2 linked regions of the Macaca mulatta genome follow. The protein of the gene in region 2 interacts with the protein of the main gene of each other region in a pairwise test. Links are inferred from orthologs where the notes say so. Each region holds a gene or a part of one and is shown on either strand. Other genes may lie near its edges.

Region 1 (3,979 bases), on a different chromosome or scaffold from region 2:
CTCGAATGCCTGGGTTCAAGCGTTCCTCCCATCTCAGCCTTCTGAGTAAATACGAATATTCTTGTTAGGGCTCTGTACTGTTTGTAGCATATTGGCTAAAAAGGATTTTTCACTGATTTAGCATTTCAGATTCTTTTCTCGCTCTTCAGCTTTTTTTAGTATAGTTTTCCTTCTCTTATTTTCATGGCCTGAAGCAAATATTTGTAAATCATCTCCTATATGTTCAGTACTTTCCTAAGCACTAGAGTATGCAGTTTTAGTTTCTTCTTGCTCCTAGCTCCGATGTGAAAATTCTAAAATGATATAAATAAACAGCTACACTAAATAACTAAAAATATTCCTTCCTTCCTTCCTTCCCTTCCTTCCTTCCTTCCTTCCTTCTTTCCTTCCTTCCTTCCTTCCTTCTGTCCTTCCTTCCTTTCATCCTTCCGTCCATCCTTCCAGCCATTGATCCATCTTTCCTTCCTTCTTTCCTTCCTTCCTTCCTTCCTTCCTTCCTTCCTTCCTTCCTTCCTTCCTTCCTTCCTTCCTTCCATCTATCTATACATCCATCCCTCCCTCGGTCGATCCCTCTATCCCTCCCTCCCTCCCTCCCTCCCAGTACTTGTACTCTCTGTCCATGATGCACCAGGAGCTCCACAAGGCTCTGAGGACACAATGGTAAATGAGACACACAGCACTTTGGGTCTCACAGAGCTCATATTCTAAAAATTAGAAATCATCTTACAGGTAAATTACTGTTTTAAATGCCTATTATTCATACCCTGTGCTAGAAGTTATGATGGCTATAAAAAATACCTGGAATTTCTGCTCCAAAAGCCTAGTCGAGGCAGAGACAAGCTCCCTTTGTCATTACAACTAAAAGAACTGCTCTAAAGGCAAGGTGAGCTGAGCAGAGTGATTTAGTTCCTTCAATAGCTGCTTGGTTCATCGAAACTTGAGTTCAAGTGCATCATGCAAATAGCTTTTAAATATTTGATCATTTTATTCTTGGTTATGGTTGCTTTGAGTGTTTTCAGTAAAACACCTGCTTGTGTTTCCTGAGTGAGACGTGTATATTAACTAGAGATGACGTTCTTATGAGTGATTATTGCCAATGAAAATGTACTTCATTAATAAATGAAATCTGCATTAATTATCTTTTTGCCATGTAACAAATTATCCCACAAGTTGGCAGCTTAAAATAACTTTTATTATTTCACAGGTTTTGGCATCAGGCATTTGGGAGTGACTTGGCTGAGTGATTCTGGCTCAGGGTCTGTCTGAGGCTGCAGTTAGACCCTCCACTGGCGTCGGAGGATCCACTTGCAAGCAGACTCACACACATGGCTGTTGGCTGGAGGCCACAGTTGCTCACCGTGTGGGCCTCTCCACAGGGCTGCTCATAATATGGCTGCTACATCTCCTCAGAGTGTGGGATCCAGAAGAGAGAGTAGGGCAGAAGCCACAGTATTCCTTATGGCCTACCTCGGAAATGACATGCCATCAATTTTTCCGTATCCTACGAATCACACAGGTAACCCTGGCACAATATGGGGAGAGAATGCAGAAGGATGTGAACCCCAGCGGGGTGCATCCTAAAGGCTGACTGGCTACCACAATATCCTTTCTCCACAATTTTTTCTTAACTCTTAGAAATATCACTTGAATAAAGTGAGCTTATGTCATGCTCCTACAAAGAGATTCAGGTGCCGCAGGATCTTTAGGACCATATGCAAAGAAGACAGAGCATGAGAGACTTTTTGTGTGTGTTTAGGTGGAGGTGTGTATGCAGCCGTGCTCTTGCAACTTTAAGAGCCTGTTGATCATTTAATACTATACTTCACAGTCCTCACCTGAGTACGTGGTGAGCCACCCCTGTAGGACAAGACCAGCCTTTGACCTTTAAAGGCTGCTGTTTACCTGTCTTTCCCCTTTTCTCAGTTTTTCCACCAGTGTGCTAACTGCAAAGTTGATTTAGGTGTACCAGGTTTAGTTGCTTGGTGAACTCACAAAGTGTTCCTTTGAGACTTAAAAGACAATAAGCCAGATTGAAGAGAATCAAACATATGGCATGGACTCAGTCAGTGATTCACACATTTGTCTGATCATAAGAATTATCTGCCATTCATTAGAAATACAGATTCTCAGACTTTCCTAGACCTATTATATCAGAATATTCTGTGGAAAGGCCTGTGTTTGTTTTTTTAAAGTCATTTCAGGTATTTTTTTAGGTTCCATAAAATGAGAAAACACTCGATTATATCACATTGGGAATAGGAATTAGATGGACATCTAACTTAATGGGGTTCATTTAATTTGAAATAAAATGGAGAGCACAATTTTAATAAGTGGACAGTTTTGTTTTCTAATTTTTCTTGATGAACATTTGCTCCAAACTGAGCAGGGTTGGAAGAAAGGTCTGATTGTATTGCTTTCTTGGTAGTCTGAGCTCCATGTTGCCTTCAGGTGATGAACATCTTTTTCTGATTGAAAATCTAATACTGAGAGATACAGGAGTTTTTGGTAAGTGTTCCTGAAATGCAAGCTAGCTTCTACATCTGGTGACTGTGGCTCAACCAAAAAGCAGCAATCCATTTCTTTCTTTCTTCCTTTCTTTTGTTTCTTCTCTTTGACAGTCTTGCTCTATCACCCAGGATGGAGTGCAGTGGTGTGATAATGGTTCACTGCAACCTTGAACTCCTGGGCTCAGGTGATCCTTCCACCCCAGCTTCTCAAGGAGCTGGAACCACACGCACATGCTACTACACCTGGCCAACTTTTTAATTTTTTGTACAGATGGGGGTCTCCCTATATTGTCTAGGCTGGTCTTGAACTCCCAGCCTCCCAAAGTGCTGGGATTACAGGTGTGAGCCACCGTGCCTGGCCCCATCAATTCATTTTAAGCACAAAGTCAAAATGAACCATAATGGATATTTTTGTGAGTACTTTCAGAGTGACAGAGGGGATTTTCAAGGTACTTTAGACTACATGCAACTTTTACTTTATGTTCTTATTTTAAAACTCCATAAGAGATACTATTCCATCGTATATAGTGCATATACTACTTTTTTTCTGTGGCCATCATAACAAATTACCACCAACTTGGTGGTTTAGAACAACAGAAATGTGTTCTTTCACAGTTCTAGAGTTGAGTCTGAAATTAAGGTGTTGGCAGGGCCATGCTCCCTCTGAAGGCACCGGGGAGCGAATCTTTGTTTATCTCCCCTGATGGCTCCAGTTGTGTTTTGGCTTGTGGCTACATAACTTCAGTCTCTACTTCCATCTTCACATGGTCTTCCTCTCTCCTTCCTGTGTGTCTTTTCCGTGTGACTCTTGGAAGGATACTTGTCACTGGATTTGGGACTCATTGGGACAATGTTATCTCAAGCTGCTTAACCTAATTACATATCCAAAGACCCCCTTTGCCCAAGTAAGCTCGTAGTCACAGATGATGAGTGTTAGGATGTGGAGATGTCTTTCTGGGTCTACCATTCAATGTACCACACTACTGTAAAACTGGAAGCAAATTATATGTAATATAGCTTGTAATGGCCCGAGTTAGCTAAGAATTTTTCTTTACTGAATATTTGTGGAGGCTTTAATCAAGAATGGCTCTGGCAGCACTTAGCGACGTCCTTGGTCTTTCTGTCCCTGTGTTTTTCTCTTCTAAGCTGTGCCTTCTCTGATGTGCCTTGTCCGTAGTCATGCTCCATGCCAAACCATGCATCACACTGGTTTTGTTGCTTTTTAATACAGAGGCTGTTGTACAATTTGAGTGAGTCCTCAGTTTCTGTTTGCGTTCATTTAAAGGTTAGTCTTACGGAACAGAAGCTGTCTGTTCCAAATTTGACAAGTATGTTTCCATTATGGTAGCTATTTCTACTTTTACTTGCTGTCATTCATATCCATATAAATATATGCCCTCCAACTCCGTTATTTTTTTCGAATATGACATATTAATAATTTCTGCAAAATGTATGCTGTCTCCTTTTTTTTA
Region 2 (4,056 bases):
ATAGTAACTAGCCAATCTGATCTTCAAAGTGTAACTCTTCCATCTTCAGTGTGGGGCCCTTGCAAAGGGCTTCCCTGCCTATTGCGCCACCAGCCCCTTGGACAGGGCCATCTTCCCCCCACCTCCTGGGAACGCCTTCCAGCAGGCTTCCAAGCACAAACCCTGAAGTGCCGTAGATCTTGGAAGACAAGACCTGGGCCTAAAAGAGTCACTTGGGGCCAGGCACAGTGGCTCATGCCTGTAATCCCAGCACATTGGGAGGCTGAGGTGGACGAATCCCAAGGTCAGGAGTTCGAGACCAACCTAGCCAACATGGTGAAACCCCGTCTTTACTAAAAATACAAAAAATTAGCTGGGCATAGTGGTGCACGCCTGTAATCCCAGCTAGTTGGGAGGCTGAGGCAGGAAAATCGCTTGAACTCAGGAGGCAGAGGTTGCAGTGAGCTGAGATTGTGCCATTGTACTCCAGCCTGGGCAACAAGAGTGAGACTCCATCCCAGAAAAACCCACAAAACTTCCCAACCTTTTCTCTTTCCCAATTTCACTCCCTCCTGTCCAAAGGTGTGTGTGTTTGCAGGTGGGGGGGGGGGTGGTGGCGGTGCGGAGGTGTCCCTAGTCCCAACTCATTCATCTTTGGGACTCCACAAAGTGGGGCAGGGGGCAACCTCAGATACCCCTCCAGCAACCATGACCCACTCACTAGCCTCAATCTCTTGAGGAAGGAATCAATTCCCACAAACTCTCTAAATCTTTCTACTCAAAATGTGGTCCATGGACCAGCGGCATCAGCATCACCTGGGAACTCAGAAATGCGAATTATGGGCTCCACCCCAGACTTGCTGAATGAGAACATCTGGGGTGGGGCCCAGGAGTCTGTTTTAGCAAGCCCTCTAGTTGTTTTTTTATGCCCTCTAGAGTCAGAACGACAGCTCTGCACGGTCCCCATTGTGCCCTGCCTGGGAGAGTACACAACACCCTCTTCTGCCATTAGAGCTCCCATAACGCCCTCTTTCCTGACAGCGCACCTGCACCCTCCTGAAACTACAGGTCCCACAATGCCCAGAGGTGCGCGCCGTCACTTTCTGGGATTATATCTCCCAAGGTGTCTTGCGAGTCAGACCGCCATCATGGCGCCCACCCTCCCAGCCACCGTCAGGACTACAACTCCCACAATGATCGGCGGCAGAACTACAGTCCCCAGCTGCTCCCGAGCGGCGCCACGTCGACTCCGCTGGGTGGGGCCGGCCTCGGGCGGGGCCGGCGGGGTCTGCAGGGTACCGGGCTGGTTACAGCAGCTCTACCCCTCACGACGCAGACATGGCAGCCCAGAAGGACCAGCAGAAAGATGTCGAGGCGGAAGGGCTGAGCGCCACGTGAGCGAGCCGGCTCTAGGCCCTCGGACCCGAGGCCCGGGAGTCCGGGACCCTGGCCCCCTCCTCCCTCGAGTGCCCGGAGTCCCAGCCCCGAGACGCACAAGCGCTGGCCCCGGTCTCCTCTAATGGGACCCTGGCGTCTGGGCCCCTACCCCCCTCCCCGCCTGTGATTCAGTAATCTGGGGTCCCGGGAGGGAGTCCAAGCCCCCTTAAACCCCTTCTTTTGCGGGGGTCTGAGGCTCCATCCCGGTCCACCACTGACCCGGCCCCACCCCTCGCAGGACCCTGCTGCCGAAGCTGATTCCCTCCGGTGCAGGCCGGGAGTGGCTGGAGCGGCGCCGCGCGACTATCCGGCCGTGGGGCACCTTCGTGGACCAGCAGCGTTTCTCACGGCCCCGCAACCTGGGCGAGCTGTGCCAGCGCCTCGTACGCAACGTGGAGTACTACCAGAGCAACTATGTGTTCGTGTTCCTGGGCCTCATCCTGTACTGCGTGTGAGTGCATCCCGGGCCCTGCACCCGCACTAGCCCCGACCGGGTGGACCCCTCCTCTCACAGCTCAGGCCCCGCCCTTCAGCGCCCGGGCCCTCCTCTCACCACCCAGGGCCCCCTCCTACCGCCCAGGCCCCTCCCCTCACCGCCCAGGCCCCTCCTCTCACCGCCTAGGCCGGCCCCGCCCCCAAGGATTGGCTCTGCTAGACCTACTTTGTCACCAAAGGGCCAGGTCCCTACCCCACCATCACCCTGGCCAGGATGCAGTGTGACTGAATGTCACCTGGCCCTCCCTGGTCTCCAGAATGTAGCTTGCCTCCCGCCGGTGGAGAAGGCCAGGGCTCCCTGGCTGACCAGCCCCAGCTGCCTAACCGCTGCCTCCCTGCACTCCTCCTCCAGGGTGACGTCCCCTATGTTGCTGGTGGCTCTGGCTGTCTTTTTCGGCGCCTGTTACATTCTCTATCTGCGCACCTTGCAGTCCAAGCTTGTGCTTTTTGGTGAGAAACCCCCTGCCCAGATGAATCCTTGGTCCCTCGAATCTTGGTCTTTTGGAATGCAAACCTCAGACCCCAAATCCAAGTCCTTCAAAACCCAAGTCCGCCGAAGCCTAGATGAACACTAGATCTCCCAAACCTGATCCTTTAAAAATCTCAGACACAACCGATGCTCCCATCGAGTCTCAGCCCCCTCAAATTGCTATTCCTCAAACCTAGGCTCCACCTGGCTGCTGTGCCTTAAACCTACTCCTCTTCAAACCACATGACTCCTCCCCTCTCTCCTCCCCTTGCCGCTTTCTGCGGCAAGCATCAGCTGCAGGTGCCCACACTGGACACCAGGTGGCGAACTTACACTGGCCTAGATCTGTTCCCGTTTCTTTTCCTGCTTTCTGGGATGTGACCAGAAAGAACTTGGAACTTGGGGAAGCTGAGGAGTGTGTTTCATGTGGTTCCCAGACTAGTACCAAGGACCACTGGGAGAACAAAATGCCAGGGGAAATTCCCCCCAGGGGAAAATCAAGGTTTGGAGTGGGGTCAAGGAGTTGGGATTGGGCTGTCAGGTAGACCTGAAGGCCAGGCTCTTCAGGGGCCTGCAAGTTATGTGCATGACGGGCTTAGGGGGAGGGAGCGCCTGCAGCACAGGCACCAGAGCATGCAGACCCCATCCCTGAGACTTCTATGAGAAGCCTGAAGTTGGTATTTTTATGTGAAATCATTCACTTTGCCAGCCACAAATCACATCCTTGTAAAACATCTCAAAACAAACACACATCCACAGGTCAGATTTGGCCCTTGGGCCACCAGTTTGAGACCCCTGGTCTGCGTGAGGGTTGCAGCAGGAGAGCCCTAGTCTAGGGAGCAGGAAGCTGGGATCCCAGGAACTTCCTGGAGGATGTGGGGCAGAGGGCAGAGCGTGGGGCTGAGGCAGGCGAGGACGGTGTGCTGTGTTCTGGAGGGCAGTGAGGACACCAGGGGAGCAGGGTGACCCCAGGACCTGGAGGGCCTTGGCATGAGGAGTTTGGATTTGATCCCGAGGACCTGAAGCTTATACAGATTGTTGGGGGGCAGCAGGGGTTACTCTGGGAGAGGGCATGAAGGGTCGGAACAGCGCCCCAATGCCATCTGCTTTCAGGCCGAGAGGTGAGCCCAGCGCATCAGTACGCTCTGGCTGGAGGCATCTCCTTCCCCTTCTTCTGGCTGGCTGGTGCGGGCTCGGCCGTCTTCTGGGTGCTGGGTGAGTACAGGGTCTGAGCAGCTGGGGTGGATGGTGGGGGCCAGGTACAGGAGCATGGCCCTGAGCTGCCGGCTTTCCTGCAGGAGCCACCCTGGTGGTCATCGGCTCCCATGCTGCCTTCCACCAGATTGAGGCTGTGGACGGGGAGGAGCTGCAGATGGAACCCGTGTGAGGTGTCTTCTGGGACCTGCCAGCCTCCCGGGCCAGCTGCCCCGCCCCTGCCTACTCCTGTCCTGCACAGCTCTGCTGCTCGGGCCCATAGCGCCGTCCCATCACAAGCCCGGGGAGGGATCCCGCCTTTGAAAATAAAGCTGTTACGGGTGTCATTCAGGAAATACTCCCCTAGCATCTTCTGTGGGTCTCTATGGGTGCAGCTGGGAATACTGTGCAGATCAGGGTTGGGGTGGAACCTGGGGTGTGGGCAAGATGATAAGGTAAACAGGTAAAATATTAATGGGATG

What was found.
Region 1: the proteins of RABAC1 (region 2) and SYT16 interact in binary tests that used the Homo sapiens proteins (3 or more experiments, as listed by UniProt). The link is inferred for Macaca mulatta from reciprocal best matches to the Homo sapiens genes RABAC1 and SYT16.

What each region holds. Positions count from the first base shown.
Region 1 is NC_133412.1:135,022,034-135,026,012, forward strand, and holds the start of SYT16 (synaptotagmin-16), read left to right. Parts: upstream 1-1,177; 5' UTR 1,178-1,389; coding exon of another isoform or gene 1,390-1,516; intron 1,517-3,979. UniProt on the Homo sapiens protein: May be involved in the trafficking and exocytosis of secretory vesicles in non-neuronal tissues. Is Ca(2+)-independent.
Region 2 is NC_133424.1:52,998,057-53,002,112, reverse strand, and holds RABAC1 (prenylated Rab acceptor protein 1), read left to right. Parts: upstream 1-1,251; 5' UTR 1,252-1,317; coding exon 1,318-1,373; intron 1,374-1,654; coding exon 1,655-1,867; intron 1,868-2,263; coding exon 2,264-2,361; intron 2,362-3,493; coding exon 3,494-3,595; intron 3,596-3,678; coding exon 3,679-3,767; 3' UTR 3,768-3,916; downstream 3,917-4,056. UniProt on the Homo sapiens protein: General Rab protein regulator required for vesicle formation from the Golgi complex. May control vesicle docking and fusion by mediating the action of Rab GTPases to the SNARE complexes.